Oryctolagus cuniculus: one gene and its partner. The protein of the gene in region 1 purifies or fractionates together with the protein of each later gene. This does not show direct contact. Links are inferred from orthologs where the notes say so. Each region holds a gene or a part of one and is shown on either strand. Other genes may lie near its edges.

Region 1 (3,814 bases):
CCAATTCGAGACCTGGCTTCTCTGCTTTCAATCCAGCTTCCTGCTAATGTGCCTCGGAAGGCAGCAGAAGTTGGCCTAAGTCCTTGAGCTCTGCCACCTATGTACTAGACAAGGATGGAGTCCTTGGCTTCTGACTTCAGCCTGGCTCAGACCTGGCTTTCATAGCCATTTGGGGAGTGAGCCAGTGGGTGGAAGATTTTTCCCTCCCACTCTCTGTGCTCTTTCAAATACATACATACATATATAAGTCTTTAAAAAAAATCACGGAAAAATGTGAATTAAGAAACATTCATATGGAATTAAATTTTTTTAAAGATTTATTTATTCATTTGAAAATCAGAGTTACAGAGATAGAGGAAGAGAGAGAGAGAGCACTCTTTCATCCTCTGGTTTGCTCCCCAGATAGCTGTAATGGCCAGGGATGGGCCAGACTGAAGCCAGGAGCCAGGAGATTCATTCAGGTCTCCCACGTGGGTAGCAGGGCCCCAAACACTTGGGTCATCTGCTGCTGCTTTTCCCAAGCTATTAGCCTGGAGCAGCTAGGACATAAACTGGCACCCGTATGGGATGCTGGGGTCTCAGGCAGTGGCTTTATTTACCTTTTATGCCACAATGCCTGCCCCAAAAAGTTTTGCAAAATTTGTTTTTGAAATTTTAATTTTATTTCCCACAAACTTTTTTGAAGTCCCCACATACATGTCAGCAGTAATGTAACCTTTTCAACCCAAGGTTCTTTGAATATGAGGATCCAGACCTTTGGCTATAAAGGGTCAAATGTACTATTATCCTCATTGTAAAAGTCAAGAAAGTGAGATAGAGGGGCCAGCCTTGAGGCATAGTGGGTAAAGCAGCAGGTGGAAGGTCTCTTTGTCTGTCTCCCTCCTTCTCTCTCTGTAATTCTGACTTTCAAAATAAATAAATAAATCTTTTTTTTTAAAAAAGGAAACAGAGACACAGAGGTTAGATAGCATGCAAAAAGGTACTACAGCCAGGAGAAAAGCCTTTAGCTTAAAACTGTGCTGTGAGTCTGGAGGGGTAGTGGGTTCTTTTAAGTGCCATAATGTTTCCCCTCTCTGTTTCAGGTTTTGAAGTGCAGGAAGAAGGCTATCTGGCAAAAATCCTGATCCCTGAAGGCACGAGAGATGTCCCTCTAGGAACACCACTCTGTATCATTGTAGAAAAAGAAGCAGATATATCGGCATTTGCTGACTATAGGCCGACTGAAGTGGCTGATTTAAAACCGCAAGCACCACCACCTGTCCCACCCCCGGTAGGCATACTCCTGGAATTAGGTGATGCCCTGCATTCCTTTCAACGCCAAGATCCTGTGAATGAGGGAGACAGTTCATTGACATTTGTGGCTGTCTCTAGAGGGTGTGTCATGCTGCACTGTTAACCTCAGGGTGGATAGTTTTTTTCTTTTACTTTTCTTTCTTTCTTTTTTTTTTTTTTTTTTTGACAGACAGAGTGGACAGTGAGAGAGAGAGACAGAGGGAAAGGTCTTCCTTTGCCATTGGTTCATCCTCCAATGGCCGCCACGGCCGGCGCACCGTGCTGATCCGAAGGCAGGAGCCAGATGCTTCTCCTGGTCTCCCATGGGGTGCAGGGCCCAAGCACCTGGGCCATCCTCCACTGCACTCCCGGGCCATAGCAGAGAGTTGGCCTGGAAGAGGGGCAACCGGGACAGAATCCGGCACCCCGACCGGGACTAGAACCCGGTGTGCCGGCGCCGCAAGGCGGAGGATTAGCCTAGTGAGCCGCGGCGCCGGCCAGTTTTTTTCTTATAGCTCTTTTCTGCCTGCTATCTTGAGTCCTGCTGAGAGCAAATGTGAGGTGACATGATCTCTTTCTGCTTTAGGTGTAGATATGCTTCTGGAAGGTAAGGTTTCATTTGGCATTTTCTGTTTAATTTACCAGATAATCTGTCACTTTCATTCCTGTTGGTATTTACATATTATAGAGGAACAAGCATATCTTTGTAATACATTGACAGAATATGACTTGTTTAGCATAGAATTTAGTATGCCACTATATGTGTCGTAGCATACACTGTTGATCTATAACATGAACTTGTGTTAACTGCAAGCCAAATAACATGTATGATGACAATTCTAGATGCTAGAGTTATGCGACTTTAGATGAGGTACACATTTCTGTCAGAGAAAACCTGATTCCTAATTGCTGGGTGTTTATGAGGAGCTGGCAAGTGGCAATGTTGATTTAAGATACTTTGGGCCGGTGCCGCGGCTCACTAGGCTAATCCTCCACCTTGCGGCGCCGGCACACCGGGTTCTGTCCCGGTTGCCCCCCTTCCAGGCCAGCTCTCTGCTGTGGCCAGGGAGTGCAGTGGAGGATGGCCCAAATGCTTGTGCCCTGCACCCCATGGGAGACCAGGAGAAGCACCTGGCTCCTGCCATCAGATCAGCGCGGTGCACCGGCCGCATTGCGCCGGCCGTGGGGCCATTGGACGGTGAACCAATGGCAAAGGAAGACCTTTCCCTCTGTCTCTCTCTCACTGTCCACTCTGCCTGTCAAAAACAAGAAAAAAAAAGAAAAAAAAAAAGATACTTTGAACATGGAACCTTCCATCATTTTATATTTTGAAATTAGGTAAGGTAAAAACAAAAACCGTGTTGGAAGTACAGAAGAATGGGAATAAAGAAGTGATATGAGATTAAAATGAAAAAAGGTTGTAGGGATATTATATATTGGTTAGAAGTATTATATTCCACTCATAGACAGGGTGGGAAATGTCCAGCTTGTTATCAGTATAAGGCCCATGAAATTATCTTGTCTGGCCCTGCAAAGGCAACTGTAGGTGGAACTCAAAATTCAATTAATCTAAGCCGGCGCCACGGCTCACTAGGCTAATCCTCCGCCTAGCGGCGCCGGCACACTGGGTTCCAGTCCCGGTTAGGGCGCCGGATTCTGTCCCGGTTGCCCCTCTTCCAGGCCAGCTCTCTGCTGTGGCCAGGGAGTGCAGTAGAGGATGGCCCAGGTGCTTGGGCCCTGCACCCCATGGGAGACCAGGAAAAGCACCTGGCTCCTGGCTCCCGCCATCGGATCAGCGCGGTGCGCCGGCCGCAGCGCGCCGGCCGCGGCGGCCATTGGAGGGTGAACCAACGGCAAAGGAAGACCTTTCTCTGTCTCTCTCTCTCACTGTCCACTCTGCCTGTCAAAAAAATAAAAAAAATAAAAAAAAAAAAAATTCAATTAATCTATAGTAGGCTCATTTTAAAGTTGATTTTTTATTTTTTGTAGTATTTTTTAATTTTGTAGTATCCAAATGACCCTTGTCAGAAAAAAAATTTCCCTATCCTTACAGAGTAAGATAACTTTATTCTGTCCTGGACATAAAGAATTGTCCTTGCCATTCATTTTGCTATATTGTGTTGGTTAAAAGTTAAAAAAAAATTCATTCTGATCTTTTAAAAAAGATGAACATTGCTTAATTAAGTTTTAATTTCTTTATAAAATGGAAACCGAATCTTTCAGGCCGGTCTCTGTGGTGATGAATCAATAATTTGTAGCTTTTTTCGAAAGGTGGCCACAGCTGCTCCAACTCCTCAGCCTTCTGCCCCTACACCTTCAGCCGCCTTGCCAGCTGCTCCTGCTGGACCAAAAGGACGGGTGTTTGTCAGCCCTCTGGCAAAGAAGCTGGCAGCAGAGAAAGGCATTGATCTTACACAAGTAAAAGGTAAGTCTGTTTCTACGGAGAGTGAAAAGTCAGTTGAATTTCCTCCTTAAGACCAGTGAGTTCAACTGTATGTAATTGTCTTAACTGGGACAGTAGGGAGAGGGTGACAGAGGGAAA
Region 2 (3,814 bases), on another chromosome or scaffold:
CTATGAAGCGATGTACTGAGACATAAATATCCACTGCTGGGGCTTCTTGCTTTCTTATTAAACCTAAATTCCAAAAGGAAATTATTTAAACTACCTTCCAAATCTACTGATTAATTGCTCCAACAGTAGGGTATGAAGCAACGAATATTTAAAAGCAAACCAACCCCCAAAGTACAGAAAGCCTCAAGGGAATTGTTCCTCTACCTGAGCGCCGACGATGCCATTGCCCCCGTAGAAGTTCTTGGCATACATGTGCATCGATCCTCCTTTCCCCTTCGCACAACCTCCTCTTCGCCCTGCAATCACAGTACGCACCTGCATGAAGCAAGCCACACCCCAAGTTCTCACTCCGAGTCCCAATCGTTAGAACTCAGACACCAATTCAGCTATCTGGGTACCTGTCTCTCTTGGCAAATGTGTTCCCCCTTGTCTCCATAGCCTTTATTTTTAAAATCTTTTTTTTAAAGATTTGTTTATTTGAAAGAGTTAGAAGGAGAGGTAGAGAGAGAGAGGTCTTCCATCCGCTGGTTCACTTCCCAACTGGCTGCAACAGCTGGAGCTGCGCCAGTCCAAAGCCAGGAGCTTCTTCCATGTCTCCTACATGGGTGCAGGGGCCCAAGGACTTGGGCCATGTTCTATTGCTTTCCCGGGCCACAGCAGAGAGCTGGATCGGAAGTGGAGCAGCCGGGACTCAAACCAGCGCCCATACGGGATGCCGGCACTGCAGGCGGTGGCGGCTTTACCTGCTACGCCACAGCGCCGGCCCCTCTCCATATCCATTAGAAGGAAGCTCTCCATCTTTCCTGATCTCTAATCACTTAACCACCTTTCCATGCTAGTCTGGTGTCCTGGACTTTTTTTCAGGGTGACAAGCATCTACTGACTTCTGCACTGGTAAACTTAACAATTCAAGAGTTGTGAGGGACAAAGAGGGAGTGTTGGGAAGATGCCGAGACTACACTGCACATCACGCTGGGTTCAAGCCCATTGTTGCTAGATATCTGCTGGCATGCTTGAGTGACTACACGTGTTCTGCCGTCACAGCACTAACCTCTGGAACTTTTCCCCGAGAAGCTGAAGGACTTCCCAGAACGGTCAGTGCACTCCAAGGCACAACAGAGGTACCAGAGTAGCACCTGAGAAAGGAGTGTTTCTAAACTCGCTCCTAACAGCTAGCATCTTAAGGGCAGACGTTTGAACACTGAACCCGCTCCCGTCCCCTTTCTGTGAATCGAGAGCAAACCTGTGAGCTCTGCGAGAATCTCGCGGACAGAAAGGCCCCGAGTGAAGGTAAAGCCGTGAGCCCGATAGGCTGTGATGAGGTGGTCCGTGGGATTTATGCCGGCCTCCAGGCCCACACAGCAAGCTTCCTGCGTTAAAGGAGGAAAAGAACGTGAGGCTCTGATTCTGGATAAAGAGGTTTCCCAGACTGATATGAAACATGTATGCTAGAACTTGGCATTGATACCACAAAGTGGCTATTTTTCATCCAACACCACAGTGGCATGGAAGGCTCAACAAGCAGCTGTAAACTGGCAGCCAGACGTGCAATTTCCTTTAGCCTGCACAGCGATTTAAAAAAAAAACAACAACCTGGAAGTGATGTCGACATGCACCTGATTTTGTAACCCTTGGCCTAAACCTACCAAAACAAAACCAAATAACCCTTTCAAAAGTGAGTACAATACAGGAATTGAAATGTCCGAAAATTTTAAAACAGTAAAATTCTAAGAACAGGTACAGGAAATTAGCAATGTTATAAATGAATAAAAGGTGTTGGCATTCTAATTTTATTCTAAAAATATGAACCTCAGGTACTTAACACATACGACAAGGTAACATCAACAAACGAGAATCATACTTACCTACCTAAATGAGACAGTTTTAGTACAAACCTACACTCACCTGACCATCACACAAGTGACAGAAACCACGAATAATCTTCTGCTTATACAGCTGATCTGCCTTTAACTCCATTCGGCGCACAGTCTGCATCATCCTGTAATACTTGAGCCCATCCTCCCTGGTGAGCACTGTCGTGACAGGAGGGCCCTCTTCCAGCCGGTGAAGGTCACATTTCTGAAACAGAGTTAAGGCAGGCAGTCATCCTCGGGTTACCACGTAGCTAACGCTGCTGACTCATTCTGAGACCTCACTCCATCGCTAGTGCTATCAAACGCGGGAGACCGCCAAGGAGCGCATCAGAAATGCTTCCTTACTGCTCCTGATTCCTTCGCTCTGTACGCCTCTCTGTGCAAGGGGATGGATAGGGCTTCAGGGGGAGGGAAGTTGTTCTTAGTAGACTTTCACTGAAAACCCCTAGAAGTCAACTGAGCTATGGGGTGAAGCTTTCAAAGGAACATTTAGGAATGTTCATGTTCAAGTGTTTCACTCTAAACTTTGGAGTAAGTTTTTCTTCCTTTTAACCCCCCCCCCCCCGGCCTCACCCATATCAGCAACATGCCAAGAATAACAAACTCTTAACTTTTGGTAAACAACTCTAACTTATGAAACATCTGGTAGAAAATGAAGAGTATCAAAAGGTCTATTCTAAATATAAAAGTTATAAAAACTGGACATCAGTGTGTACCTTTTGAAAAATTCTGAACACAACGTAAAAGCACCTCTCACCTTAATTTCGAAGGTAGCATCATTTGCAAAATTACGGGATGCCACCAGCACTCTGCTTGCCTTGAAAGAAAGAAAACACACAAACACATCATTATGTTTTGTCAGCCATCTTGGATAGTCAGAATTACTACTCAGTGATGATGTACTCATGGAACTTTAATAAACCCCAGCATATTCATGGGCTTCTCTCTCTTCCATTCTGTTCACGATGTTGGTCATCTTCCTCACCTTCCAAAATGAAGCCACACTCTGGCCAATAAAGCACAATCCCACCGCTATCTGAAGGCAGAAAGAAAGGTGGCAAAAACCAAACCTGTTCACTTTACCACTTTGTTTTCCAAGAATTCATGAGACAGGCTGGTGTTGTGGCACATGAGATTAAGTGTCTGCTTGCAACACTGGCATCCCACATAGGAATGTGGTGTGAGTCCCAGCTACTCTGTTTCCAATCCAGCTTCCCCGTAATGTGCCTGGGAAAGCAGAAGATGGCCCAAGTACTTGGCCCCTGCCAACCACTGGATGGAGTTCCTGGTCCAGTCCCGGCTGTTATGGGCATCTGGGGGAGTGAACCAGCAAATGGAAGATTCAAATAAATATGTGTGTTTTAAAAAGAAATTATGAGAACATAATGAAATTAATGGCTATACTGAAGAGCCTAGATAATCTGAGATGTATGCTTTTTTTTTGGGGGGGGGACAGGCAGAGTGGACAGTGAGAGAGAAAGGTCTTCCTTTGCCGTTGATTCACCCTCCAATGGCCGCCACGGCCAGCGTGCTGTGGCCGGCGCACCGTGCTGATCCAATGGCAGGAGCCAGGTACTTATCCTGGGGGTGCAGGGCCCAAGCACCTGGGCCATCCTCCACTGCACTCCCTGGCCACAGCAGAGAGCTGGCCTGGAAGAGGGGCAACCGGGACAGAATCCGGCGCCCCGACTGGGACTAGAACCCGCCTGGGACTAGAACCCGGGGTGCCAGTGCCGCTAGGCGGAGGATTAGCCTATTGAGCCGCGGCGCCGGCTGATTTATGCTATTCTTAAATCATAACTGGATACTGTTCATTTGAACAAGCTAAGAGTTTACTCTATCATACTTCAACTTAAACTATGATTTAATCCCTATTGCAGAGCCTAGTGGGTTAAGCTGCTGCTTGGGAGCCTGCATCACACATCCAGGTGCCAGGGTTC

The links.
Region 2: the proteins of DLAT (region 1) and PDHA1 fractionate together in Homo sapiens (co-fractionation; 3 studies listed by BioGRID). This does not show direct contact. The link is inferred for Oryctolagus cuniculus from reciprocal best matches to the Homo sapiens genes DLAT and PDHA1.

The regions. Positions count from the first base shown.
Region 1 is NC_091432.1:103,981,880-103,985,693, forward strand, and holds part of DLAT (dihydrolipoyllysine-residue acetyltransferase component of pyruvate dehydrogenase complex, mitochondrial), read left to right. Parts: intron 1-1,082; coding exon 1,083-1,270; intron 1,271-3,543; coding exon 3,544-3,697; intron 3,698-3,814.
Region 2 is NC_091453.1:5,384,370-5,388,183, reverse strand, and holds part of PDHA1 (pyruvate dehydrogenase E1 component subunit alpha, somatic form, mitochondrial), read right to left. Parts: intron 2,692-3,814; coding exon 2,632-2,691; intron 2,080-2,631; coding exon 1,906-2,079; intron 1,371-1,905; coding exon 1,244-1,370; intron 297-1,243; coding exon 205-296; intron 1-204. UniProt on the Homo sapiens protein: The pyruvate dehydrogenase complex catalyzes the overall conversion of pyruvate to acetyl-CoA and CO(2), and thereby links the glycolytic pathway to the tricarboxylic cycle.